Kluyveromyces lactis: one gene and its partner. The protein of the gene in region 1 interacts with the protein of each later gene in a pairwise test. Links are inferred from orthologs where the notes say so. Each region holds a gene or a part of one and is shown in the gene's direction. Other genes may lie near its edges.

What was found.
Region 2: the proteins of STE20 (region 1) and CDC24 interact in a two-hybrid assay, tested with the Saccharomyces cerevisiae proteins (3 studies listed by BioGRID, with this or other methods). The link is inferred for Kluyveromyces lactis from reciprocal best matches to the Saccharomyces cerevisiae genes STE20 and CDC24.

The regions. Positions count from the first base shown.
Region 1 is NC_006038.1:1,183,937-1,196,186, forward strand, and holds STE20 (mitogen-activated protein kinase kinase kinase kinase STE20), read left to right. Parts: upstream 1-7,655; coding exon 7,656-10,625; downstream 10,626-12,250. Other genes in the region: SHU1 (Shu1p), read left to right, coding at 264-779; mRNA turnover protein MRT4, read right to left, coding at 873-1,589; putative ubiquitin-protein ligase UFD4, read left to right, coding at 2,491-6,894; MIF2 (Mif2p), read right to left, coding at 10,710-12,250. UniProt on the Saccharomyces cerevisiae protein: MAP4K component of the MAPK pathway required for the mating pheromone response, haploid invasive growth and diploid pseudohyphal development. Links the pheromone response G-protein beta gamma subunits to downstream signaling components.
Region 2 is NC_006039.1:1,090,437-1,107,326, forward strand, and holds CDC24 (Rho family guanine nucleotide exchange factor CDC24), read left to right. Parts: upstream 1-8,194; coding exon 8,195-10,468; downstream 10,469-16,890. Other genes in the region: Rab family GTPase YPT11, read left to right, coding at 459-1,580; TRM11 (tRNA (guanine-N2-)-methyltransferase), read right to left, coding at 1,815-3,128; HRP1 (Hrp1p), read left to right, coding at 4,138-5,850; retrograde cargo receptor ERV46, read left to right, coding at 6,486-7,703; CIR2 (electron-transferring-flavoprotein dehydrogenase), read right to left, coding at 10,693-12,678; GDS1 (Gds1p), read right to left, coding at 13,494-14,879; KLLA0_C13035g (uncharacterized protein), read right to left, coding at 16,003-16,890. UniProt on the Saccharomyces cerevisiae protein: Promotes the exchange of CDC42-bound GDP by GTP. Controls the polarity of calmodulin, and the calcium regulatory process of bud emergence. CDC24 may be involved in the initial selection and organization of the budding site.

The DNA.
Region 1 (12,250 bases):
CGCTACGATAACCAACTGTCCAATTCACCAATTCAATAAAATTTTCCAGATCATTGTATACGAGTTGATACTTTGATATATTCTCAGTAATTAAATATCACGTGTTTTATGTGGTCTAAGTATCAACATTTCAAACCGTCAAGGCTATTACGCATCTGAAACAATTAATGTACCGGCTTACAAGCGTGAAATTAATTTATTAGGATAAGGTATTTCCTAGTAGGATAGCATTGGTTAAGATTATTTTTCATCCTTATAAACCGATGGAAGATGTACTGCGTGATGTATTGGACCGTAACAAGAAAGTTCTAGTTATAGCAGTTGGCGTTAAGGCTCGAAGTTTCTTCGAGCAAGATCTACGGGAAAACAAGACGCATTTCTTTAACAGTATTGATGATATAGTCAGGGGACGATCCAACGTGCGGATTCTGTTCCTTGATAAATTACAGTATTTATATATGTACTTGACATATGTCGAGATTGAGCTCCAGAATAAAGGAAACACATCGATGTGCTATGAAGAAATTATCATCTACGGTTTAGAGTCCCTGTTAATGACGAAAGAACAATTGGAATCAGAAGAGACACAGAAAACTCTTGATCTGTCAATCTCCCAGCTGCGACATTGTAACCTCATCCTTCATGGATCGCTTCGACTGGAAAATCAGTACGCTGTGCGTATCAGAATGGTGTCAGCGACAGATCTGGGAATGATGTCTCAAGGTTGGAAGAATCTGACCGAATATTGGCAGTACGTGTATTCGATAAAGGATTCCTAGAGAAGAGATTAATGTACAAAGGAGAAATATATAGGTTATGATTATATATATATATTTATAGTTTATCACTGCAATGCTTTCTTATTTTTGGATTTATTTCGAATCCATGTTGATATTGATCTGTTCCACACTAGAAGTTTCGTTATCGTAGTATGCGGCAACCTTCACCCTGAATTCAGCAGCTGCTATACCAAATTGTTTCAAGATCAATGCTTGAGTAACATCTAGAGTTTTGCCCTTTTCACAGACCAAGTATGGAGATTCGATGGTAATCTTACCATTCTTAATTTTGGTTGGAATCTTGAACTTGTTTCTTAGAGTTGGTTCCAGAGAATGTATCATAGGCACATCTTCTTCTTCTGGGATTTGACCACCACGAGAGTATACAATACCGGCTGGAATGGTAAAAGACAATGGAGCCTTTGATTTTGGTCTGGAGAAATCAGCTCTCACATATGCCTTGAAGTAATCTTCCACTACATCGACAGGTTCGTTGGTAAATAATAGACCAGTAACACCAGAACAGTGCTTACATAGTTTGGCCAAGTTCTCCTTGTACTCTTCCTCTGGCTTTTCACCTAACGCTTTCACCAACACCTTCCTCTTACCCATGATTAACTTGGATCCAACCCAAGAACTTCTAATCTCTTGCAAAACTGGAGTTCTCACATCTTCCAAATGTAAAACCCAAGCGTATCTGAAAGAATCCAAGGCTTCTCTAACTTCATCGAATATCCTTTCCTTGTTCTCTCTACCCTTCTTATCGGTTTGGGCCAATGTAACCAACTTTGAACGCTTAGATCTTGGCATCGTATCTGGGTTGGTATATGTAGTAGCTTGATGATAAAGAGTAACGAAAAGTAAACAATTATCAGAACACTATTCAATTACAGAAGAGAGATAAATAAAGAGGAATACAACTGATAGAATATAGCGATTAGTACTGTTGATCAGTTTAAACTATGAAAGGTCCATCGAGTAGATGCGATGAGATGAGCTTTCTCAAACTGAAAAATTTGCGCCTTTCTTTTTCTTTCTAGTTGTGAGTCACGTGATTTGATTTTTCCAAACGGAAAGTAACGACCTCTGACACAAAGTGAATCGGTAAGACATATACCGGCTCTTTTGCAATGCTCTAGGGCCATTCTCATAAGCTCGGTTAGAGAGGTTTATTCTAAGGAACTGCAAAACCAAACTCCGGTATGAATTCCCTTGACTGATTTCTGAGTCTCTCACTCATTGCCAATGAGACAATAGATCTCAATTCAACACAAATATCAAGACTAGAAAGGCACAGATAGGGCATGATCGTGTATCGGGCAAGTAGATATAGTGGTAATGATTTAACCTATTACCGGAGATGTATTGTAAATGGGGAAGTAAACTTAGTCACGTGACTCATTACTTGTGGCGACGGGTATTGTGTATATTTTCCTCAGATAAAACCGCAGTGTACCGGACCAAAATGTACCTTAAAAGTTCAGAGTCAGGAAATTGCAATCTCAGTACATATTTAGCAGGAAACAAACTAGTTGGTTTGATATGAACAGCCGGCGAGTTAAACATACCTCTTGTATTGCTTGCCAAAGTCTAACAACCTCTAAGATACCAATTATTAAGGTGGTAAGAGATACCGGGTTGTGAACTAGAAATTTTAGATAGTAATTTTGCCTCTTATTTGTGATTTGAAACAGGAAAGGGTTTTGAAAAGATGAGTTATTACGATGGCGATGGCGACTATATCATATATGAAGATGCGAACGGTAGCCATGAAAGTGATGATGTTGAATCTGGCGAATATTCTTATCCAGAGGATGAAGATGATTTAGAGTTTGTCCATCACGATGATGATGATGATGAAGACGAAGACGGGGAAGAAGATGGATCGCAAGGAGAGCAGTTGGACGAAGATCAAGATGAAGATCAAGACGATGAGGAAGTAGAAGGTGAGATAGGGAATGTTTATCATGAAAGCCGTTCTGGGGACCGTGCGGACAGGATTTCGTTTCTACAAGATATTGTTTCTCGTCTAGCGGATCAAAGATCTGGTGAAAGTGGGGATGGTGATGTTGCTGAAGGCGAGGAAGCTGATTCGGAGCGTGCATTTGGACGTTCATTGCCAGATCTGTTGCAAGAACTAGGAAGGTCTGAAGGGTTTTTCGGTGTTAGCAGAGGAAATTCTCGGTATTTGAAATTGATTGAGAATGTGCTTCAAGCTGAAGACGATCCGTATATTGCTATGGAATCTCTCCGGGAATTATCTGAACAGCTATTGATGTTAAACCCTTTGATCGCTGATCGAATCATCCCATCTGGCAAGTTAATGGACGCTTTGATCCATGTATTGTCTAGCCCATTATTACAAGCAGAGTTGGAGTTACAATTAATTGCTTGTAGGTGTCTCTATAACTACTATGAGATGAACCCAGAAATGATAGAGGTTTCGGTTAATAGAGATATTATTGAGATATTGAGAGGGAAATTGAATGAGATAAGCTATATCGATTTGGCAGAACAAGTTTTGGAGTGTTTAGAGTTCATTTCAAGGGTACATGGATCTAAGATTTTAAGAAGCGGTACCCTTCTCTCTTGTTTGCAATATTTGGATTTCTTTACCGTCCATGCGCAGAAAAAATCATTATCTATCGTTGCGAACTCATGTGCTAGGGCTAAGGAAAGTGACTTCGAGGTGGTATCAGAGATTTTCCCCATCTTGAAATCTATCTTCCTAAATAGTACAAATCCAGTAATTTTGAAGCCAGTTCTCATAACACTTTACAGCATTTCAGGATCTTTGAACAAGAAATCATTATCTAAACTCTTTGACTTCGAGTTGGTTAAAAGGTTATTGTCGTTGTTATCTTCTTCAGAGATTGAACGTGAATCTGTTTTGAAAGTCTTGGATATTTCATCACTCTTGGTCTCCACCAATGTTGAATTGTCAAAACAAATCCTATTGGATTGTGAGTTGAACAAAGTTATTCAAAACGTTTTCCAGTCTTATAAGAAATCAGCATCTTCCACCTTCAGTGAAACTTTGATTTATGTTCCTAAAGAGCTTTTGTTGTCGGTAACAACTTTCCTCTTACTTTTGCTCCCAACTGAAGATTCTCAAATCTTGACAGCCGATGAGGTCAAAGTTTTCACATTTGACGGAAATGAGGATAAATTCCTTGAACTAGTCAATGAGTTGATTCCTTGTTTGGTGGAAATATATTCCAATACAGTGGATACTAAGATTAGATATACAGTTCTTGTTGCATTGGCTAGGGTGTTCACGTCTATACCTCATGGCTACGATATTCCTAGTTCGTCCGTTATTAACATAATATCCTCTGGTCTCATCAATGGTTCAAATGCGCAACAAGATCATATGAAGACTGAGACCAGTGCAGTACTAGTAGCACTGCTTTCGTTAATTTCTATCATGATGTCTAATAATCCGGATTTGTATCTACCGAAACTAAGAAAAGAAGGTATACCAGATGCTTTAACCTCTTTGAATTCTCACTACAGTTATGAGCTCAGCAAGAAAGATAGTATTGATAAACAGGAATCGTCATCAGATGAAGCCGAGAAGTCAGGATATCATATACGTCCGGAAAACTCTGATTCTCATCCTGTTTTTGGATCTGATTCTGACATTGAAGATGAAGATGATGATGAAGAAAAAGACAGTTACAGGATGGAGTACGACGACATGAACATACCTGAATTTGTCAAACCGAGAAAAATCCGCATTAATATCTACGATCATTTGACTCCTTATTACCTAATAAAACATGTTTCCATGTTTAGTGCTACACTACTAGAGTTGTTTTCATCTAACCAAGAAGAAGTCTCCAGCGAGCTTTCTGAAATTAATGCTGTTGTCACTAAGATGAAGGAACTGGATGTTCAATCTGATTCCGAACAATATTGGATGGATTTCTGGACTGCTGTAAAATCCTCATTATTTGATGATATGTCCAACATATCTGGCTTCGAGCTCATTTCCACTGGTCTCATTGATTCTATGGCTAATATCTTTGAAACTGATTCAACGAAACAATCATTCTCCAAGAGGACTTTTCTGAAAGTGTTCGAGGAAAAATTGCCTGAATTTGTGAAGCTACTACAAAATGCATTGTCTAGGACGGAAACCTTTGCCATCCTAGATGCTGGTGCCAGTAGCAACGATTCTCCAAGTGCCTCGTTAATCAAACAGATGAAAATAAGATTAGTTCATGAGCCGGCCGATGATGAAGTGGGAAAAGATACTGTTCCAGAAACTCTTCAAGATGTTGTAATTGCCGTGCATTGCGTTGCATCTTTGAAAACACTTGATGAATTCTTGAAACACAAGATTGTGCAATCGGAATTTTTGACTTCTATCATTCCGAGCATGAGTCGTGCTAATCAACAAGCCAACCCTACAAATGTTGCCAAAGAACTTGAAAACATACAATTTGACTTTTCGTTGAATGACCATCTTTTAGATCAATCGTCAACTATTTACTCTATTATATTCAAAGAGGCGATGAAAGAAGGGTTACCCACAACGAGTATCTGGACTAACGTACCTACTTTTAAGTTCAAGAAATCAGTAAAAAGAAGGGAGTCACATCAATTGCATGTGCTTTACCCCGATACAGCTTTTGAAGGGGCGGATTTGAAGCCTGTCAATGGTATTTTGACAGTTCTACAATGTTGCCAACATAAATCACTCCCAGCATCTATTTATGTGAATCCAAAGATTAGTGCTAAGCTTTCCCGTCAACTTGAAGAGCCACTTATTGTGGCATGTGGGGTCTTACCAAGTTGGGTCCTCGATATCACGAGAAAATATGGATTTTTGTTTCCATTTGAAACTAGAATGAACTTCTTACAGAATACATCATATGGATATGGCAGATTGATCCAATACTGGAGGGAAAAGCTGGCAGATCAGCACCATAGTAACCCTACTGAAAATCCATTGCATCAATTAGGCAGGTTGACTAGACACAAGTTGAGGGTTTCAAGAGACTCACTATTTTTGTCCGGCATCAAAATTCTAAAAAAGTATGGTTCTTCGCCAAACGTATTGGAGATCGAATACAAAGATGAAGAAGGTACAGGGTTAGGACCCACTCTCGAATTTTACTCTTTGATGTCGAAAGAATTTGCAAGGAAGTCTCTAAAAATGTGGAAGACCAATAGTGATACCAGTGATGATGAGGAGGAGTATGTGACAGGTGCATTGTTCCCTGGACCATTATTGGGCACCACCGAGGAGAATAACGAAAAGACTTTGAAATTATTCGAAAACTTGGGGACCTTAGTCGCTAGGTCAATGTTAGATAATAGGATTCTCGATTTTAGATTTAACGCTGTTTTCTTCGAGTTGATGCACAAATGCTGCAAGAATGATCGACTTGACCTAGAAGACTTCGAAACTTGTATCCACCTCGTAGGACAGTTTGATGTTCAACTAGGAAAATCACTCGCATTTTTGTATGATAATCGTCATGATGACTCTATCAAAAACCTTGACCTATATTTCATGCTGCCTGGTTATGATATAGAATTGTTGGAAGGTGGTTCGAAAATCTTAGTTGAATCTTTCAACGTGGAAGAGTACTTGATTCGTGTCTTTGACCAATTTTTGGGCAAAGGCGTAGATATGCAGCTCGCTGCCTTCAGGAACGGATTTTCGAAATCATTCCCTTATTCATCATTGCTAATCTTAACTCCGACAGAACTATCCGATTTGTTTGGTGCAGTTGCTGAAGATTGGTCTGTGCAAACGCTATACTCATCCATTCATGCAGACCATGGCTACTCGATGGATTCTCCAATCATAACAGACCTCATAGATATTTTGTCGAATTTTTCGACACAACAGAAACGTTTGTTCTTACAATTCATCACTGGCTCTCCGAAACTACCTCTTGGCGGTTTCAAAAACTTAAAACCCAAATTCACAGTAGTCCTGAAGCACCCAGATGGGAACATCTCGGCAGACCATTGCCTACCTAGCGTTATGACATGCGCCAATTACTTGAAACTACCAAAATACTCTGATAAACTGGTACTCAAAGATCGTATTGCACAAGCAATGACTGAAGGTTCCGGAGCCTTCCTATTGTCATAGAATATGTATATAACTACATAGAGATGTCTGTAGATCTAACCATACTCCACCCTAACTAAAGATTTCAATACCACATACTTTCGTGACATGTGACAGGATTTACTCTTTGGGATTGGCGAAAATGTTGAAACTGAAATTTAAAGCTTAAGAGTTTAAACAAACGGAATGTAAAGATCAGATGGTATGCATGTTTATAAGCAGATTAGAGAAACGAGCAAGCTCAATTGTTGCTTTAACTGTGGCTTGTGTTAGAACTAGGTTTTAAATTTTATTAATCAGGCTATCTCTGCCGATTTGACAAGTATTTCAGAGAGTAATACCAGGTAATACCATCTTCTTTTGGATCTTTTTAATAACAAGCACACATTATTTGTTTGTTTTGGCGAGAGTGTGATTTTAGCAATCAAAAGACGTTCGTTACACTGAATTACACAACAGGCTCTCGTTTTTAAGTTAGAAGGAGGTGAAGGTAGAAAGAATTTTACAGAGCACGTTTTGTCATTTCTTTCATTGTTTATCTGACTTGATCTTCTATTCTTTGAACAAAGTAATCTAGCTTTTTTTCTGACAGAAATTAACACGGCCACAGCAGGCTTTGTTACTGACGGTTGTATGCTCTAGAAATCATTACAGACCTGTTTGTGTTTTTCGGAATACCTTTCCTTTTTGTTCGGTCGATAGAATTAACCACAAGACATCTTTTGACACAGGCCTTTTTTTTTTGATAGAAGCTACTACACTCACTACTTTGTCTCCATATAATGACGGATACTGGATATACTGAAGAATTGTTACCAGGCACATTTGATGCGCTTTCCGTGAGAGAAAATGGTGGCAATACAGAAAGTGACACCAGTAGCATACGCAAAAGTCAAAATCAAGATTCAAAACAAGAGGATGTACATCGTGAAAATCTTTCAGTACAAACTCTAGAGGATCATACAGAAGTAACGGAGACTAGGGAACAATCTGTCTCAAAAGATCTCTTTGATTTACCTCGTGCACCAGCGAGTTTGGATGTGAAAGGATTACAAGAATCAGACGAAGATCATTACGTCAAAGACCTTTCAGATTATAAATCTATGGATCCAGGGAAACCGGGCACCGTACCAACAAATGTTTCGGAAATTTTTAATAGTAACCAGCCAACTTTGGATGAACCGATACAATTTACAAGAGTCTCTTCCAGTTCTGTGTTAAGTGAAAGTATATCGGAAGGTGATGCAGATTTAATATCGCATCTAGAAGGAAAAGTGGAAGAAGGAAATAATTTGACTTCGAAGGAGACGCCAGGGACAATTGAATCTATTGTTGGAGATAAGACGATGTCAACTATAGAAGGTTCCTCCCAAAATATAGGTAGAATATCTACTGGCGGGAGGATGACACCTGATCTCTCTCTTATGGGCGGGGCCCTGGAAACTTCTTCTGACTTCCTAAATTCCACACAAACCTCAAATTCTCCAAAGATTACAACACCTATAACTGAAGTTGATGCCAATGATGTATATGAGTCCCCGCTAAATGAGATATTATCATCTACAGATAGTTTCAACAAGGCATCGACAGCGTCTGCAGATCATTCGAAACACGTAAGTGTGCATGAAGTAATACCTGAAGAAGAACCACATCCAGAAACAACAAATGAGGATCCTCCAATTAAAACTCCCGTAATGGTGAATAACTTTTTCGAAAATCAAACACCAGTATCAGAATCAAGATCCCCCTTCAGAACCATTTCTTCTCCGTTTTCTTCTCTGAGGAAAAACGTTAAGAGTCAGCATGGGACGCCTGACCACTCCCAGAGGAATTCTAATTCCTCCACCTCCTCTAATGATGTTAAGAGGAAGACCGGTACTAAGAAGAAAGGTGTTTTCTCAACATTCGTTCAAAACATCAAGAGGAACTCACACTCAGAGAAAAGAATTTCTAGCGGAAGCGGTAATGGAAGTGGAAATAATGCATTTAAGATCTCTACTCCTTATAATGCTAAGCATGTTTATCATGTAGGTGTTGACTCCAAAACAGGGGAATATACAGGGTTACCAAATGAATGGGAGAAACTTTTAACTTCCAGTGGCATTAGTATGAAAGAACAACAGCAACATCCCCAGGCTGTGATGGATATTGTAAAATTCTACCAAGATGTTACTGAAAACTCTGGAGAAGAGAAAGTCTTCAAGACTTTCAAAGTAGGAGGTGGCTCTGGTGCAAACATTGCATCTACACCTTCTTTCAGAACCCCATCAACTGCATCAGTACAGAAGTTCGAAACTCCGCAAATGCAAACAGATGCAACTTTTCCGAATGAAAACAATGATACCCCATACTCTAGTAACTTACAGGGTCCGCTGCTCACTAACGATTTCAGTGAAACTGTGAACAACGAAAAGTTCATACCGACTCGGCCTGCTCCAAAACCTCAAGGTTCCTCCACAGTTAGCCGTAGGGTCGAAATCCCTTCACCAATCAATTCGCTTGGCCATGGAACACCAAAAGTGCAAAGAAGTGATACTCAGTCATCAAGCATTTTCTCATTCAAGAAGATGCCAACATTGAAAAGTGAGCAACCATTACCTCCTATTCCAAAGGCTGCAGAAAAACCAGCAAATTTATTGCCTGCAAGAGCGGCTCCTACTCCACCAAAACCTGCAATTCCTACAACACCGGAACAATCCTCAATACCTGCAATTCCTTCCGGGCTTGCTGTGGAAGTGAAAGAGGAATCGAATACTTCTAATGTCCAGACAAGAAAGGCCCAGGAAAAAAAGAGGGAAGAGAGGAAAAGAAAGAATCAACAAATTCAATCAAAATTAACCGAGATTTGCACAACAGGAGACCCAAGCAAACTGTACAAGAATCTGATCAAAATCGGACAAGGTGCATCAGGAGGAGTTTACACAGCGTATGAATTGGGCACAAATGCTTCAGTAGCAATAAAACAGATGAATTTGGAGAAACAACCCAAGAAAGAGTTAATTGTGAATGAAATTCTGGTCATGAAAGGAAGCAAACACAACAACATTGTTAATTTCATTGATTCATACCTATTTAGAGGTGATTTATGGGTTGTCATGGAATACATGGAAGGTGGTTCGTTGACTGATGTCGTTACGCACTGTATATTGACTGAAGGGCAAATCGGTGCCGTCTCTAGAGAAACACTCAAGGGTTTACAGTTTTTGCATTCAAAGGGAGTCATTCATAGAGATATTAAATCAGACAATATTTTGCTATCCATGAACGGAGACATCAAACTAACAGATTTCGGTTTTTGTGCTCAGATTAACGAGGTAAATTTGAAGAGAACGACGATGGTTGGTACTCCGTACTGGATGGCCCCAGAAGTCGTATCAAGAAAAGAATATGGACCAAAGGTTGATATTTGGTCTCTTGGTATTATGATCATTGAAATGATAGAAGGTGAACCACCATATCTGAATGAGACACCACTAAGAGCTCTATATTTGATCGCTACCAATGGTACGCCAAAGCTAAAGGATCCTGGAAATTTAAGTCATAAAATGGCTATGTTCTTAAATTGGTGTTTAATGGTTGATCCAGAGGACAGAGGAACCGCAGCAGATCTTCTTGAAGATCCATTTATCACTGAAATTGCGGAAGAGAACACCTCCCTTGCACCGTTGGTTAAACTGGCAAGGATGAAGAAACTAGCAGAAAGTATGGAAGATGATGAAAACGATGAAGACAAATACGATGAACAATCATAATCATTTCTGTTTTACGGCATTACATGAATTTAAAACTTTATTTTTTCTATATAGAATAGTTGTGTTATTAATATTTCATTCACATTAGGTAGATGTGAGACTCATATCGCTCGAAGATTTATTAGAAGACATCTCCGAATCTTCAAAAATGTCATCTGCACCATTAAAATCTTCAGGGACGGTTGTTTGAACGAAGAAAAGTTGCGCTTCTGTCATTCCTTTATTGAGAAAACCGTAAGTGTTGAACGCCGGTACTTGAAAAGAAGAACCCGTTGTACACACAAACTTGTTATCACCCACAGATATTTCAACAACACCTTTAACAACGAAAAAATTGATAAAAGCGTTATGTGAATCACTAGGGGTCTTTTCTCCATCGAGCGGAAGCTTAAGCATACCGCTGGCAAACCTTTCTTTGTGTTTATCGAATAAAATCGATAAAGTAAATTTATCCTGGTTTGTGCTTGTAACCTGTTCAGTTTGTGCTAACCCAGGAGCAAAAGCCAATATATTCTGTTCTTTCTTCTCATCAGCTGTAACATTGACCTTTGATTGAAGAATACCTTGTTTCAGCCATTCAGCATTTGGATAAGTTCCTTGCTGAATATCTTGAATAATTGGAGCGTTTGGATCGGTAATGTTCTGATCATCCACAGGCTTAATTTTCCGTGGTCGACCTCTAGGTTTACCGGACGGAATGTAGTTATACGGTCTTGTCTTGGTTTTCATTACCTGCTTTTTAGCACGTTTACTTTTCAGTAGTTGCTCCTCTTCTTCATCCTGATCATGATCATACGTGATAATTTTTTCAATCTCAAGGACAGGCTTCTCTGATTTTCTCTTGTACACGATCTTTTCATTTCTCCAGTACTCAAGCGGTGCAACTTTGACTCTATTCGATCTACGAATTCCGCCTTCCGTACTTGGACTTTCGTCTTTCAATAAATCTTTAGCTTGTGTCTGAATGTAATCTTCGTCGGAATCATACACGTCAGATGCAGATTCAATATCTCTTTTCTGTTTTCGTACGTCGCTCAATACAGCATCATCTTCTTCTGAATCGTAATCTGAGCTATCTTCTGAGCTATCCGAGCTAGCATCACGAAATCCTGATATTCCTTCCACGTAATCTCTATCTTCTTCCTCTTCACTCCCAGGCTGGAAATCATCGTCGAGTTCGTCTTCTAACAACGCGTTTTCTGATGTATTAAAAGATTCATCTCTGGTAGTGTCTGCATCGTTTATAAGATCGGGAACGTCTCTATAATCATCCAGTTCTCGCCTTACCGGAGTGAGCTGGACAGAAATATCCTCATCTTCTTCATTCTCGTCGGCTTCCGGTAACTGTCTCATAAATCGCCTTTCTCTCCTCGTAGGCTTTGGTGGAGTCCTGTAAGAATCGGGAAGTGGATCATTATCATCCATAATATCCCCTCCATCGGCATGAATATCTGGGAAATCATCAGTTTCATACCCTTGAGGCAGGCCCGAATCTCTCTTGTCGTATACGTCTGCGTTATCAGGAGTTCTGTCCTGTTGAACCTGTGACGTTCCTGGCTCAGGGATATTAGAGACAATCTTGAATCTATCGTCATCGAACGAACTTACATTTTCAGCGGCGCCTG
Region 2 (16,890 bases), on another chromosome or scaffold:
TCAAGCTCAGTTCATTGACTTCACGCATTTTCTTCGAATCAAAGGTTAAACTTTTGTCTGTGCAGTTTCTCTGGTGATTTTCGAAAAAATAAATATCCAATCGAAAGGCCGTTAGCTAACATACAAAGAACCAGGATTGGGAACGAATCTCCTTTCTTATCGGTAAACTCATGGTTCACCAAGGGTTTGAAGGGTATTGTTCGTTGGTGTATGGAACTGAGTTAATAATTGAACGAAGGCTTATATCGATTGTCCATCCAATCCTCTCTTCCTATCTTATTTGATTAATAGTGTTGGTGTTTAGGGTCCTGTGTGTTTCAAATTCGAAGTAAATTACGACACCTGGAGTTAGTTACCAGGAATACGTTGCATAAGAAGAGTCTAATATTCACTCAGTAGAAGTTGGCGTGTGTTTGTGTTTTGTGTTTTTTTTTTTTGCATTTATGAGTGTATAAGTAATGACTTCTCGTAAACGTCGCTCTCTAATAATCAGTGCGCCTTCATCACCGACAATTCCCGAAGAACCAAGGTTTTTCTCTTCAGCACCACCAACGGCTTCTGTGGGACTGGGGTTGAGCAATGGAAATCCTACCGGACAGCAATCTAGACATTCCTTTCTAAGGATCAATCCCAATGATGCTAGAAATATTTCCTTCGATTCTTTGACAGATTCATCTAATATCAAGCTATTACTTATAGGTGACGCCGGAGTGGGAAAAACGGCAATGATATTATCATATTGCAATGAACTACCTAGGATAAGTACAAAAGCTTTCAAAAAAAATATCGACAACTCTCCTGCAGGAAGTAATGGCTTCTCGAAATCTGAACTAAATAGGGTTAAGAGTATTGCCAAACGGAAGAGGTACTCTTTGAATGATTTCGAAAATTCCCCGATGGCTGATGATTCTGATTTTGAGATTAATACTACTTCGACCATTGGGATAGATATAAAGACAAATTTGGTGAATATAGACAATAGATTTTTCAGAGTTATTATGTGGGACACTGCTGGACAAGAGAGATATAGGAATGCTATGATTTCTTCATTATATAAAGGATCTAATGGAGTGATTTTAAGTTATGATATATGTGACTTCAATAGTTTCCTGAATTGCTTGAACTTCTGGTTGGTTGAATCCATTGAGAATATTCCTAATTTGAGCATGACACGGTTTTATCTAGTGGGGAACAAACTCGATTTATATAAGGAAAGGAAAGTTACGCATGAAGACGTACTTCAGTTCATTTCCAGGATTGAGAAAGATTATAATATAAAAATATCAGGTAACTTTGAAGTTAGTTGTAAATGGGAGAATGTGGTAGAAAGGACATTCAATATTATTATTAAAGATTTGGTAGAAAGCGGGTGTTATGAGGATGACAGAGAGCTTAGAGTAATTTCATCAGACCAATCAGAAGATAGTGAAAGTAGTTTGGAGGATATTCCAGGCACTCCCCGTGGCGTGCGACAGAGATTAATGAAGAATAAATCCAAAACTGTGGATTTGAATAAACCATTGAATAACCAAAACGACGATGGTTCAAACCCAGGCTCCACGAGTTCCTGCTGCACTTAGTAATGAATTTCAAGTTATAGCGTCATGATACCAAGTATTGGCAGTGGAAGATGATATGCAAGGAATATGTATAATATTGTATAATATTGTCAGTCATTGTAACTTTGTGTATAATAAATGTAATAATATCGATTTTATAAATATTAATTTGTATTTTAACTAATGATACATATTATAGTGTAATGCTAGAGTGAGCAGATGTCTATTATTAGCCTTATATCAGGTCCAATAATATCAATTGAACCCGCTGAAGTATCTATCTCTGAAATTACCAGTTCTACTCAAACCAGAATTGTTGGGTCCATTAAATTCGTGTCCTCTATTGATATACACCAATAATCTTCTAGACCATTTATTGAAATCTTGAACACAGTTATACTTCAGTTCCAAATTCGAATGAAGAGGAATTATAGTTGCAACATTCTCGTCATTGGCAGTGGGCATCCAGAAAGCCAATCTACCATTAATGGGGAGTCTTTGACTTGCGTAATCCAACAAATCGTCTAATAGGGAATCTAAAGAGTACGGTTTTTTAGTTGGAATATAGTCTCTAAGTAGATAAGCTTTTTGACCGTTAATTTCCACATCCTCTTTCCCAGCAAATCTCTCCGGATCCTTTGCTCCAAGAACTTTAATCGATTCTCTAATACCGTATGGAGGATCACAAAGGATCGTATCAATGACAAAGTCCTTTCTCAATGCATTATGCGTAAAATCCATTGTCATGACGTCCAGGAATTGGATAGACTCTTTATAATACTTGAAATTTGCCTTGATAGTTTGTTGTCCCTTCCCTCTGATCATCCTACCATCAATATCAGACCCTAAGACAAGAGCACCATAATGGCCACCAGCCACCAGGAATGAACCAGTACCAACGAATGGATCATACATTATATGTGCTGGTTTTACCTGTGCAATATTTGCACTTACCAGTGATAATTCAGCTTCAAATGATGTGGTTCCTTTGTAAGGTCTCTTTTTCAAGTCATACTTCTCTAGTGCACCCCGTGCACGATCGCTTAGTTGAATTAACCTTCCGAAATAGATCTTTTCTGGAACCTCACCCCCGATATTTTCGCTGATAGCTTTGTATTCTTCAATAACCGTAAAAACTTCATCCGGATTTTTCATTTTGATGGGTCCCTTCAACTCAAGGTACTGGAAAGATTCAATGGTTGTCACTCTCGTAGAAATATCCTGTTTCGCGTTACCACCAAACTTTTCAAATTCAAACTTGAAACTCTTTCTTTCATTTGCGCTCTTATACTGTTCAAACTCGGGATGAGCTTGGACACTCTTGTGCAACGACTCATAAGTATTACCTTCACCCCAGTACTCATAAATGGCTCTTGTAAGCACCGATCTCCTAATCCAATCACTGGCTTGCTTATCATTTTCCAAGGTAACTATCATGAATGGTGAATCGACAGAATAACTCGAAAAGTCGACATCAACTCCATGCAGATCCGCTAGTGATTCCAATTCTGCTAGACGGAAATTTAAGTGCACCTGCACCATAAACAAAAGATACCGCTTCCTAGCCATAGATGATGGTTATAACTGGCGTTTGTATTAATTCTAAATCCGGAAGTACGAAAAGTGATTAACTGAGAAGTCGCACTTTCGATTAAAGAGGATCTCATCTCATCGCAGCTCATCTCGATATTTCGCTTTCTCTGCATGTTTAGCTGAAGTCGGCGTTGAATGAGTAAAGAAAGGTATATAGGATTTCATTACCCGGTGTTTCTGATTGTTTGGGCGCAGTTTTGGGACGAGTTGTCAAAAAGTTTCTTTTTTTGCAAGGCGAAATCGACAAAATGACAACCAAAAAGGCCCTAAAGCATGAATTTTTCACTAAGAACAGCGAATAATTTTTGGGGCCAAGTTGTTGCCATTGGAAAAAAAAAAAAATTAATTTGAATATAAAAGCAGTACAGGAGAAAAATTGAAGGGGCAGAATGTTTCTTCCTGTTTGTTTACCACTTTCCAGGTGATTAGACAGTCTAAAGAGATAATCAAGTCACTAAAACGAGTTAGGGAAGGATATAGGATTCAAAAGTATAGAAGTACCCGTATATCATTAGCGAATCGAAATAATCAACGGAACAAAGAATATTTACACTGTATTTTTTCTTTTTCTTTTCATTTATAAGATACCGATTGTTTTCAATAGAGTTTTAGAAATTGCAAACTAGGAGAGAGGAACCATTGTTACCGGAAATAGCTCATATTTGTTTTATTTTCGTACTGTATTAGATCTCAGTTATTACTTTATTATCGTCTACTACTACTTTTAACGTATAACATTAAACTTTGCTGTGTGTTGCTGTGTTTAAGCTATAAAATCCCCATACAGACAAAAAGAACAAGGATCATTTAAGTAGAGCGGAAGAGGAACGGCGCAGGAAACTTACACAGCGTTATCGTACTTATATTTACAAACGTTTACTGCAGATTTATCATATTTAGTGTACAGAACTAAGAAAATCCAAGTGGTAAAGTGAACGGTGCAACAAGTAGACGAATAAGAAGAAATTGAAATATTGCATTCAAGATGAGTTTATCAGACGATGAAGATTTTAACGACATCTACGGTGATGAAAATACCGCTCAAACCACGGTGAACAATAACGAGTCGACTTCATCAACTGCAACATCTACAGATAATCAAAATAATACTCAAAGTAATAATAATCAAAATAACGTTAGTAATAGCTCGACAGATGATCACAAAGATCAAGCTTCAACTACCAATAAAGAGGCTAATAGTAGTAGCACAAACACCACCGCGGCAACATCTCAATTAGATCAACTAGCAGCTTTACAGGCTTTGTCATCTAACCTGTCACAACTGCAACAGCAGGTTGCCTCTTCAAATAATCAACCAGATTCTAATCTTGCATCCAATAATGACAAGGCTGAAAACAATAACAAGGAAAACTACAGTGCTTCCGTTCCTGAAATGCTGCAGATGCCTCAAATGCCACAGATGCCAGGTATGCCAGATATGTCACAGTTGCAACAATTGCAACAGACTATGTCTCAATTGCAACAAACTGCATCTCAGCATGAACCAAAGGCTATCAAAGCTGATTTGTCTCGTGACATTAACAAGATGTTCATTGGTGGTCTAAATTGGGAAACCACCGAAGAGGGTTTACGTGATTACTTCAGCAAATACGGTGCAGTCGCTGAAGTTAAGATTATGAAGGACACTGCTACCGGTAGGTCCAGAGGTTTTGGGTTCTTGACATTTGAAAACGCTTCTAGTGTCGATGAAGTCGTTAAAACACAACATATCTTAGACGGTAAGGTTATCGATCCAAAGAGAGCCATTCCAAGGGAAGAACAAGATAAGACTGGTAAAATTTTCGTTGGTGGTATTGGTCCAGACGTCAGACCAAAAGAATTTGAAGAATTTTTCTCTCAATGGGGATCCATCATTGATGCCCAACTAATGTTAGACAAAGATACTGGTAGATCTAGAGGCTTTGGTTTCATTACTTATGATACACCAGATGCAGTTGACAGAGTTTGTCAAAACAAATTTATTGAGTTCAAGGGTAAACAAATAGAAATCAAGAGAGCTGAACCTAGACAATTACAAAAGCAAAAACAACCTCAAATGACTCAACCAATGGGACAAAATATGAGCAACCCAATGCAACAGTATCAGATGTTCCAAAATCCAATGATGGCAGGCGGTTTCAATCCTATGATGGCCACTGGTTTCAACCCTCAATCGATGAACGAATACTACACTAAGATGCAAGAGTATTATCAACAAATGCAACAACAAACTGGTATCGATTATACTCAAATGTTCCAACAGCAAATGCAACAAATGCAACAGATGATGGGTATGATGGGCGGTCTTCCTGCAGGCCAACAACCTTCTCAAAGTGGTGCAGGATCTCCACCAAGCCATTCATCCACCCCTCAACACAACGACGACAGTAATGGTGTCACTACTATTGGGAGCTCAAATAATGGCAACCGTAGTAACAGTGGAGTAGAATCTGGAGATGACTCAAGATACGATAATTCATCAAGCCGTGATGATTCTCGTCGTTCAGGACACAGAGCATACGATCGCAACTCTGATCGTAGCAGTTATGGCTCGTCTAACCGCGACCGTGACAGCTGTCGTGGCCCATCTTCAAACTATCGCGGAGGTGGTGGCCGTGATCGTGATTCCCGCCGTGGTGGTAATGGGTATGGCGGTGGAAGCAGAGATAGACGTGGATACCACCCATACGCCAGGTAATCTGCTTGTATGTTAGATTTATTATAAGGTAAAGAAATCTGCGTATGTAGCCGCGAGCAAGAGGATACTTTGTGTTACTTGTTATATTTGCGATCCATCCATTTCTTTAACTGAGCCTCTCATAACCATGTAATAATAGAAATATAATGAAAGCAATGATTCCTAAGCATCGGATCAAATCACATTCCTTGCTGCAAATGTCACACAATATTTTACCATACTCTGTTTACCTGATTCATGAACGTTAACACGAAGCATCAACGCAATTTTATTCAACTTTTATTGCTAATCAAAGCTTAATTTTATATAATAACATGTAAATCAGTATATATCAATCAAACTTACAGTTTATCAACTACTATTCAACCTGACATTGGACCTCACACCGAATGGTCAGTGTGTGTATATACAGTTGTCAGTATTCATGTATATTTGGTACAGGTTAGGTTGCTTCTCAATCTGATTTTGAATATAGGCAAAAGTGAAAAAATATCAAAATCAATTCCAATTTGACATATACTAGCATTCACAATTACACATGCTCATAGGAATAGAATAGGTTTAGGATACGGAAATACTACACTACTCACGGAGAATTCGCTAACGCAAGTATCTGTCTACACAAATTTGTCAAGATGAAGAAATCGCCGTTACTTTCCATCGATGCTTTTGGTAAAACAGAGGAGGATGTCCGTGTCCGTACACGAACAGGTGGATTAATCACGGTGTCATGTATCATTATAACGATGTTGTTATTGGTGAGCGAATGGAAGCAATTCAGCACTATTGTCACTAGACCTGATCTCGTGGTTGATAGAGACCGTCATTTGAAGTTGGATCTCAACTTGGATGTGACATTTCCTTCGATGCCATGTAACGTATTAAATCTAGATATATTAGACGATTCTGGGGAATTTCAGATTAACCTATTAGATTCGGGATTCACGAAGATCAGAATTAGCCCAGAAGGGAAGGAACTCTCTAAGGAGAAGTTCCAAGTTGGTGACAAATCATCAAAGCAAAGCTTCAACGAAGAAGGATACTGTGGACCATGTTATGGTGCATTAGACCAATCAAAGAATGACGAGCTACCACAAGATCAAAAAGTATGCTGTCAAACTTGTGACGATGTGCGTGCAGCCTACGGACAAAAAGGATGGGCATTCAAGGATGGTAAAGGTGTGGAACAATGTGAACGTGAAGGATATGTTGAGAGCATCAATGCCAGAATACATGAAGGTTGTCGTGTTCAAGGACGTGCTCAATTAAACAGAATACAAGGTACCATCCACTTCGGTCCAGGTAGTTCAATGCGTAATATCCGTGGCCATTTCCACGACACTTCGCTATACGATGCATACCCACATTTGAACTTCAACCATATAATCAACACCTTGACGTTTGGAGAGAAACCCAAGGATGGAGACAGCGAATTGATCGGTTCTGCTTCAATTTCACCATTAGACAGCCGCCAAGTGTTCCCAGACCGCGACACACACTTCCATGAGTTCTCATACTTCTGCAAGATCATTCCTACCAGATTCGAATTCTTAGATGGTAAAAAAGTTGAAACTACTCAATTCAGCGCCACGTACCACGATAGGCCTCTAAGAGGGGGCAGGGACGAAGACCATCCAAACACTGTTCATTCTAAAGGAGGTGTCCCAGGTGTTTTCTTCAATTTTGAGATGTCGCCTTTAAAAGTCATAAATAAAGAACAGCATGCAACATCATGGTCTGGTTTCCTTTTGAATTGTATCACAAGTATTGGTGGTGTCTTGGCAGTTGGTACTGTCATTGACAAAATCACATACAGAGCACAAAAATCTATTTGGGGTAAGAAGAGCTCTTAAGCAAAGATAGATAGAAAGAGAAATTGTACTACTGTTCTATAAAAGTACATATATAGAAGTTATGTGTGAGTTTGACACTTGTAATTCTTATTTTCCAGTTATAGAACGAAACTCTAGCGTATATCAATATTCAATGCCAGATATGTAGGATTATTACACGACACCTGGCAAGTGCCGCTAATTGGTGTTATACTCTTAAATACCACTGAGAAGTATCTCCTATATAAAAAGAACCTCCAGAATTTGATCCACAACAATGTTTTCGGGCCCCAAAGGTTTTGACCCAGAGATCTCAGTATTGACATTACTCTTGAAAGAAAAAAAAAAAAAGAATAGAATAAAACAATACTGAAATTAACGAAACAGCCAGTGTCTTCGAAGTGAAGTTAAAATAATTCTTATCGTTGTAAGTCTTCCAGAGCTGTACAAACAAGGTTTTTACTATCTAGGAGTGTCAGAGAATAATTCTGTTTTAGTTGCAGCCTGCCATAATGGCGGTAAATCCATCAGTATCCAATGTTTCGCTGACGAGTGTGCGTTCAAATAGCACACATTTATTAATGAACAAAAAGGTGACAGCACAGGAGTCATTATATCATATGTGTTTAATGATCAAGAAGAGATTAGAGTTTCTGCCACAGCTCCAACCATATTTGAATTTAGCGCATTCGAGTTCAGAGATTCTAGCAGAACACCAAGCCCTGCTTTTATCGCAGAAACAGCAGTCACAGCAGCAACATCGGCAGCGAGGTTCGCATTACGAAGGTAGTAGTGCACAAAGTACAAATGGTAGACTTTCCTCCTCAAGTACTCTTCATAGGGACTCTAGTTTCTCGGCTACGAGTTTTGGAGAGGACTCTGAGCATTCTCAGTCCTTTAATATGGAGGACACTTTACTGACTTTTTCTGTTGGTATTACGCCTATATCTGTCGATTGTGACCCTGTAACGCAACTTTCTAAACTATTTCAACAGGGTTCGCCACTTTGTATTATATTCAATGCCGTAAGACCTCAATCTAAGCTAACGGTGGTCTCGTCAGATGATATTAAGATTTGTAAAAAATCTATCTACGACTTCATTCTTGGTCTGAAACAACATTTTGCATTTAATGACGAAGAACTGTTCACCATTTCTGACGTTTTTTCAAATTCGACAGATCATTTCTTGAAAGTTTTGGACGTTGTGAATACGTTGCTGAATGCTGCACCTGAAGTATTCCCACAAATTGATATGAGCACACAGTTGGAATCTCAACGTCTTGCGAAACCACAGACAGAATATGATAAAATTGTCAAAGAATTCATCGAGACTGAGAGAAAGTACGTGCATGATCTAGAAGTTCTGAATAAGTATAGGAAGCAACTTTTAGACAACCAAATTATCAACTCGGAAGAACTGTACATGCTGTTCCCCAATTTGAATGACATAATCGATTTCCAAAGACGGTTTTTAGTGTCATTAGAAGTCAACGGTCAAGTTCCATCTCAAAAACAAAGAATCGGGGCCTTATTCATGCATTCCAAATATTTCTTCAAGCTATATGAACCTTGGTCCATAGGTCAAAATGCAGCGATTGATTTCATTTCGTCTAGTTTCAACAAAATGAACCCAAATAGCACTAATTTTGTCATCGGTAATAAAATGGAACTGCAATCATTCCTTCTCAAACCAGTCCAAAGATTGTGTAGATACCCATTACTTCTCAAAGATCTTTTACAACACGCAGAAAGTGATTCTAAAGAATTGGAGATTGCCTTGGGTATTGCCAAATCCATTGCAAGGAATATTAACGAAAATCAAAGGAGAACAGAAAATTACGAGGTTGTCAAACGTCTCTATGGTCGTGTGGTAAATTGGAAGGGTTACCGCATCGCTAAGTTTGGTGAGTTATTGTACTTTGATAGAATATCAATATCAACGAGCAATTCCAATGAGCCAGAAAAAGATTTTGAAGTGTATCTATTCGAAAAAATCATACTATTATTCAGTGAGGTAAGCCAGAAGAAAGGAAGCTCAATAAGTTTAAAAAAGAAATCGAATTCATCATCTGTTCTTCATCTTTCAAACTCTTCGAACACTAACATGAATGATTTCACGAAGAACACTGGGAAACTGGATTTAAGAGGTCGAATTATGATAGTTAACCTGACTCAAGTCGCTCCGATTGATAACTATTCCCTGAACATTATTTGGGAATCAGCCAAGGAAAAGGGGAACTTCATACTAAAATTCAAAAATGAAGAAACCCGCAACAACTGGGAAAGCTGCCTTCATCAGCTTCTTCGTCAAATTCGCAGCGAGTCCTATAAAAGTGTCAATACGAATAGCGATATGTCGTCATTCTCCTCACCAGTCCAATATTCTCACAACAGTGTTGCCTCCATTGGTAGCACTCTGACCAGACAAATCTCAGAAGTCCTTCCCAAAAGCCATATGTCCAATGCCCGTCAGTCATTTGCAAGCGAATACAGATCTATATCCGAAAGTTACAAAAATTCAATCCCTGACACTATGCTTCTACTGAGGGTCTCATTCAACAACGATTTTTACACAGTCTTAGTATCCTTAGACTGTTCTGCGGAAGATCTGTTGCTTGCGATTAAAAGGAAATTGGCACATTTAGGAGTAATCACGAAGGTAAAATACCAGGATGAAGATGGTGATTTTGTGATGTTGGAAAGTGATGATGATTGGTATGTTGTAAAAGATATGCTGAAAGAGAGTAATGAAAGACTATTGAACGTTTGGGCTTATACAAACTGAGACATATTAATAATATTTTACCTTTGATTGTATTATACATAGATTTCACTTTTTGGCGTTTTTCAAAGGTAAATGAAGACAATTCCAGTTTGACAGGTTCACTTGGTTGATTTAATATAAGTTCAGTTATTAATGAAAATCATATTTTACAGATATGAATAAATAAATTATATTAGATAAATAAATATTTCAGGCCAAATTTTACTCTGACTAATTTAACAAACTCAGGTAAGTGTGTACTTTGGACCATCACCTCCCTCAGGAACTTCCCAATTAATGTCCTGAGTTGGAACCTTGATGTCACAGGTTTTACAATGAATACAATTTTGTGAGTTAATCTGGAATTTCACACCCAATGGGGAGGTTTCGTCTTCAACATACTCATAAACACCAGCTGGACAAAATCTTGATTCGATTCCCTTCCATTTTGGATACGCAATACTAGTATGTTTTTCCATATCTTGCTCAGGGACTCTTAAATGGCATTTTTCGTCATCATCGTGATACGTTCCAGTTCTTGATACTGATGTTAAGATATCAAAGGTAATCTTTCCATCGGGTTTTGGATAATCTATGGGTTTGTATTTATCTGCAGATGCTGTTATAGCAGCATCTGATGCATGGTGATGGAACGTCCATGGAACTCTGCCTTTGAGTATGTAAGAATCAACACCTGAGTATGCCATACCACCGAAACCCCCTAGTGGTGTTGCTCCGAATGAAGGCCTAATATTACGCACTTCATAAAGCTCTTCATATATCCATGACTCTTTGAATGCGGTCTCGTAAGACTCTAGGTTAATTGGATGTGCGACAAGTTTTTCAGTTTCACTCGCTTCTAATTCTTCCAAGGTTGGCAACTTTATGATCTCTTCGAAGGACTTTTCTGCTGCTAGCATACCACTCTTCATTGCAGTATGTGTACCTTTGATTTTAGGAACGTTCATGAAACCTGCTGAAGCACCGATCAAACATCCACCAGGGAAGTTCAATTTAGGAACTGATTGGAGACCACCTTCATTTAGAGCTCTAGCTGCATAACCTATGCAGGTACCTCCAGAAAGGATTTTTTTGTAATAAGGATGCAGTTTCATTTTTTGGAATTCCTGGTATGGTGACACGTATGGATTCTTGTAATCTAAACCCACGACTAAACCTACTGTTACTAAACCCTCACCAAAGTGGTACAGAAAGCCACCTCCATACACGTCATTAGTTAAAGGATATCCCATAGTATGTGCAACAAAGCCCTTATTGAAGTTTTCAGGTTTTACTTCCCACACTTCTTTGATTCCTAAACCGTATGTTTGATTGTCTCTTTCATGTCTTAACTTGAACTTCTTTATTAGTTCTTTTGACAAGGAACCGTGGCAACCTTCGGCAAACATCGTTTGTCTAGCATGGAATTCCATTCCTCTTTCGAATGTTTCCTTGGGTTCACCGGTCTTCGATATACCCATATCTTTAGTTGCAACACCGATAACGGATTCACCATCGTCACCATAAATCACCTCGGAGACAGAGATACCAGGAAATACTTCAACTCCTAACTCTTCGGCTTGTTCTGCCAAGTACCTAACCACTTGTGATAAAGATGCTATGTAGTTCTTGTTTATGTTCATCATCTGTGGAGGCTCTGGGACCGGTAACGCGATATTCCCGACCAAATATTTCAGCTCCTCCTGTTCTACCTTGGTAACTAGCTCTGGAGGAAGAGGAATCCCATTACCATCCTCGTCGTAATATTCGCTTTCAGGAAACAACTCCCTTAATGCCCTTGGTTCTAAGATAACACCGGAAACAATGTGTGAGCCCATATCCGGAGCCTTCTCTAAGACGACAACACGCAATTCTCCGTTACCATGTTCATTGTCTAGTTGTTTGAACTTAATGGCAGCAGCTAACCCTGCCGGCCCACCACCTACAATGCATAAATCTACCTTATCTACTGGTCTTTCAGTTGTCAAAGCCTCTTGCTGGTCCTCTGTCATTTTCTGAAATGGTATCTCTACAGACTGCCATTTACGAGAAGTAGTTGAAAATGATCGAGTTATAACATGCAACCGCTTCGCACTGTTACCGAAATATTGCAAGTGCAATTGTAGCTTCTGGGGAGTAGATGCAAAGTATCTGACAAGTCCATTAGAGACGACTGGACTGACGTACTTTTGCACCGTGGCCGGCCTTTTCAAAACCTGTCTGTATAACATTATAACTGATGAAAGACTACAGAACACTTGAATGTTTCCGTAAATCCGTCGATGGTCGTACCCTGTTTTTTTTTAAGTCCTTCTTCAATTAATTTTTGGGTCGCTTCTTACCTTTCAAAAACCATCATATGACGATGAGCTCTTCTGTTAAATACGATATCAGAATATATAATCATATCGCCAAATTTTTCAATGACTCTGATTTTCTAATATGAAAACTGAAATATTTAATTTTTTGATATTTTTTCAAGTATTTCTAATAAAGATGTCGTAATTTTTGCTACATCAGTAACGGAATACAGGTTAATCATGCTATGAAGTACCTGTGGAGAAGCTGCACTGAGGTTGTTGTAACACTTGGCATCCTTCCCAATGTATGATTTTTAAGGGATATGTAAACTTTGCGGCTAACAACAGTTGTGAAAGCAAAGATAATGATAAAACCGGATTGCTTTAATACATACATATGTATGAAAATAATAAAAATACCAATCTATAGTCATACTTAACTACAAATAAAGCAACGTATGACCTAGAGAATAACGTAACATGACATGAATGTGGGAAATAGATGGTGACTAATAAGATGCAAAATACTGGCAGCGGTAGATGAATTTCTACGTTCACAGTATAGCAAAGAATAGTTGCAAAAAAGAAGTTTGATAATAATACAGGATATACGAATCAGATTGGACCTGAAAGACCGATGAATCCGATTCGAAGCTGGTAAGAGAGTCAGGTTCACCGGGATAGAAGTTGACATTATAATATAGCCTCTCTAACATAAAAAAGGGGGAAAATGAACAGATAATACGTTATGTGAAAAATTCATCAAGCTCATCAGGAGAGAGAGATTCTGGGGTTGGAATTTCCTCCAGCAAAAAGCCATCTCTCAAAGAGCGTAACCATTGGCAGCTTTTTTCCTTTGTATGTTTCGTATAGTCTTGGCTGCTTGCCGCGGAAGCAAGTGGTGACGAAGCCTTCGAAGACCTTGGAGTTATAACAATAGGATTCTGCGTTACTACAGTTTTGAGAATTTCTGCAACGGTCTGCGCAGTCTCGGAACTTGTCGCAGTATTGTTTGAATCGTGGTGTTTAGATGAATTCCTTGAAAGTCTTGGAGTAGAACTAGCAATTGTTATGTATACAGGTTGTTGTTGTTGAACTTGACCCGCTTGTAACTCTAGAGAGTTTGAAACTTGCTCCATTTTCATCTTTTTGCCAGGACGATCTTGGCCCATAGACAATCTCTTACCTGTCAGGGTGATATGAGAATCTATGTCGAGATCATTAGACACATGAGACAAAGACAGCTCTTCCAATTTTGGTGTTAAGCTAACTGATACTGGTGAGGACATATAAGGGATGTTGAAATCATTAACAAAATTGCCCGCAGAGAAAGTAGATGATTTGAGACCACTCATAGCACTTGAACTTCTAGGGATTGCCCCATCCTTGTAATCTGTACTCTGTGATCCGTCAATTTCCATTCCTAAGTCTGAGGTGCTCTTAGCCAATTGCTTCTTAGATTTTGTCTTGTTCTTTCCCATTGGGTTTGAACCATTATCAGATAACTGAGTTGAAGCTGCAGCTAAAGCTGCAGCTGCAGCTTGAGCGTGTTTTTGATAGTCAGGTGCGAGAATACCGCGATAGATGTACACCATTCTTCTGGGAGATGCATCAGACCATTCACGAGAAAGAGCATAAGAAAGGCCCTTTTCACCCTTCTCAACTTTTTTGACATACGCATTCAGTTTTGCAGATATCAAGTTAGAGAGTTTTGTTGACAAATTGTTCATTTCAGGGTGCTTTTCCAATAATAAATCACATAACTGTTTGACAGTCATACCTTGTTGGCCTGGATCGCTTTCCCATAAAATGACAAAAATTGCGTACAACACATCATCTTCATTTAAGGTGGGGCCATTGTTTTCTGGTTTCGGTCTTTCTCCTGTCACTGGAATCGTTTTCGAAATGGAGACGACATCGGTTAACTGAGAAGAAGCAAGTGATCCATTAGAGTTCTTTTTCGCTTTCGAATCATGCTTCCCACTAGGCTTGGTTTTGTCAGACTCAGACTCTGGAAAAGCTTTGGCACTGTTAGCTAAAGTGCTTGCATCAAACAATGGCGACTTTGAATTTGCAATAAGTTCATCGTCCAGTGTAGGAATATCCAATGGTCTGGAATTTGCCAAGGCCATCTTGAAAAAGATAAATTAATGAAGGATATTTTTTGCAACTGAGTTAAAAATATTGACGGTTGGAAAAAATATAGATATTGTTAAAGAACTTTCAAAGAAAAGAACACTTCAACTTAACAATGTAAGGTCTGAGAAAAAAATGAAATAAAATATTGCTGTTGTGAATCAGTACCTTGGTGATGTTTCGATAAAAAAAAAGATAAAAGGGCCCAGAATAATTAATTAAAATCTCTTAGACACCAAAACAGGGAAATTATGAAGGAATTCTTGTATAAACTGCACTTACCAGTATGATAAATGTATTGGCAGCTATTCCAACCTACTTCTTGAGCCTGTATCAATAGATATATTTTCTCAATAAAAATATGTCGTTTCAGAGGGGAAAAACGACGCTGACACAACACAGGAACAGTTGGTAAGAAAAAAGAATTGCTAAAATCAAACACAAATGGGTTTACGGAACCGTCAAATGATCCTGACTCCAGTGTTATTTCCTAGATAATCCAGAAACAAAAAGACACCACGGCCGTCAAGTTAAGGTTTGGTTTTTTTTCAAAACTTAACGGACTTCTGATTCAAACAGATAGAGATAAAAAAAAGGCAGAACTATGAAGGATGCTAGCAGCTATGCGTTCCAACAAGATCGGCTTTTTCACTAGTTTGTATAACTGTCACTTTGGGTTTTCAATAATCAGTTAGCAAGAGTGGAATTGCAAGAAGTTCCACTCAAGTTGAATATGACTTAAATCGGATAAGTGACGAATTACGCAGAGAACGATTAGATTTTCAGATTGTCAAAAAAAAAAAAAAAGGAGATTCTGCGTGGGTTCCGATCAGAAAATAATATGGAAACAAGACCTTCTATTCAGCAGCAATTTATCTTGAGTGAGTGCATGATATCTTAATTTACCAGTACTTACTTAAAGTTTGCTTAGATATTCATCATATGCGTGCATATTAACTATTCATAGAAACAAGTCAAGGAAGGATTTAAGTTAACACCCATACATCACATGCGATGGAGTCATCTTAGTTGGGGATTTTCGCAGGAATTTCGATAACAAAAAGAACAAATTTCCTTATCTGGAAAACAGTCACAAGAGGGTGCCGCTTCGTGCCTTGTTTAAAGTCTGTCCGATTTTTGTCTTACGCGTTGCAAGGCATTCGAGATGCTGTCCATGTAACTGTTCCAGTAGCCATCCTTATACATGTTGTTAATGGAATTTCCAGTTGGTGGCATAAGCCAGTAATTTACAGCTACATGAATATCATGGCTGTCTTTATTACCGTCTGTTGACCCAAAAGAAGTGACTTCATGAAACCATCCGGTAGGAAGGAATAGCATTTCACCAGGCTTCAAGTCTATTGTCGTCCGATGAGCTGTGAAAAATTTGGGCCATTTTTTCCTAGCAAGTTCTTCAATATTGTTTCTTAATTCTTGATCTTCTATCTTGTCTAAATGAACCACGGTTGGTGGAATCGTAGAAAAGGAAGGCGGGTCTAATGTCGATTGATTATCGGTCGGCTTCTTGATGTCATTTTCCGATTCATTAGTTAGTATCATATTGTACTCTTTTCTATCTGGTTCTGGGATGTTTGGATCATCAAGCTTATACTGCGCATATTGTGTTTCAATAGCACCGTCGGCTCGTAGCTTATCCCATGTAGGTGCATTTTCGTTACGTTTGTAATTAATGATCCCAGTATCATATAAGTTGGCTACGTCTCCAACGGTGTACATCTTAGTGACATCTGACGGAGCAAACAAGGTAAACCTTTTACGGCCACTTACAGGAATATATATGTTATCGGCATGATCATGATGAAGTCCAGATGATGATCCACCTCCTGGAATATTTCGTCCAAGACCTAATTTTTCATCGTTCGGGTCGAAATTGCCAAGAAAACTTTGATCACTATCCTTTTCACTGGCAGATCCGACCCATATGTTTATTTGTTGGGGCACTAACTTCAAGAAGTGTAATTGCTCTGGAATTTCGTTTACTAACTT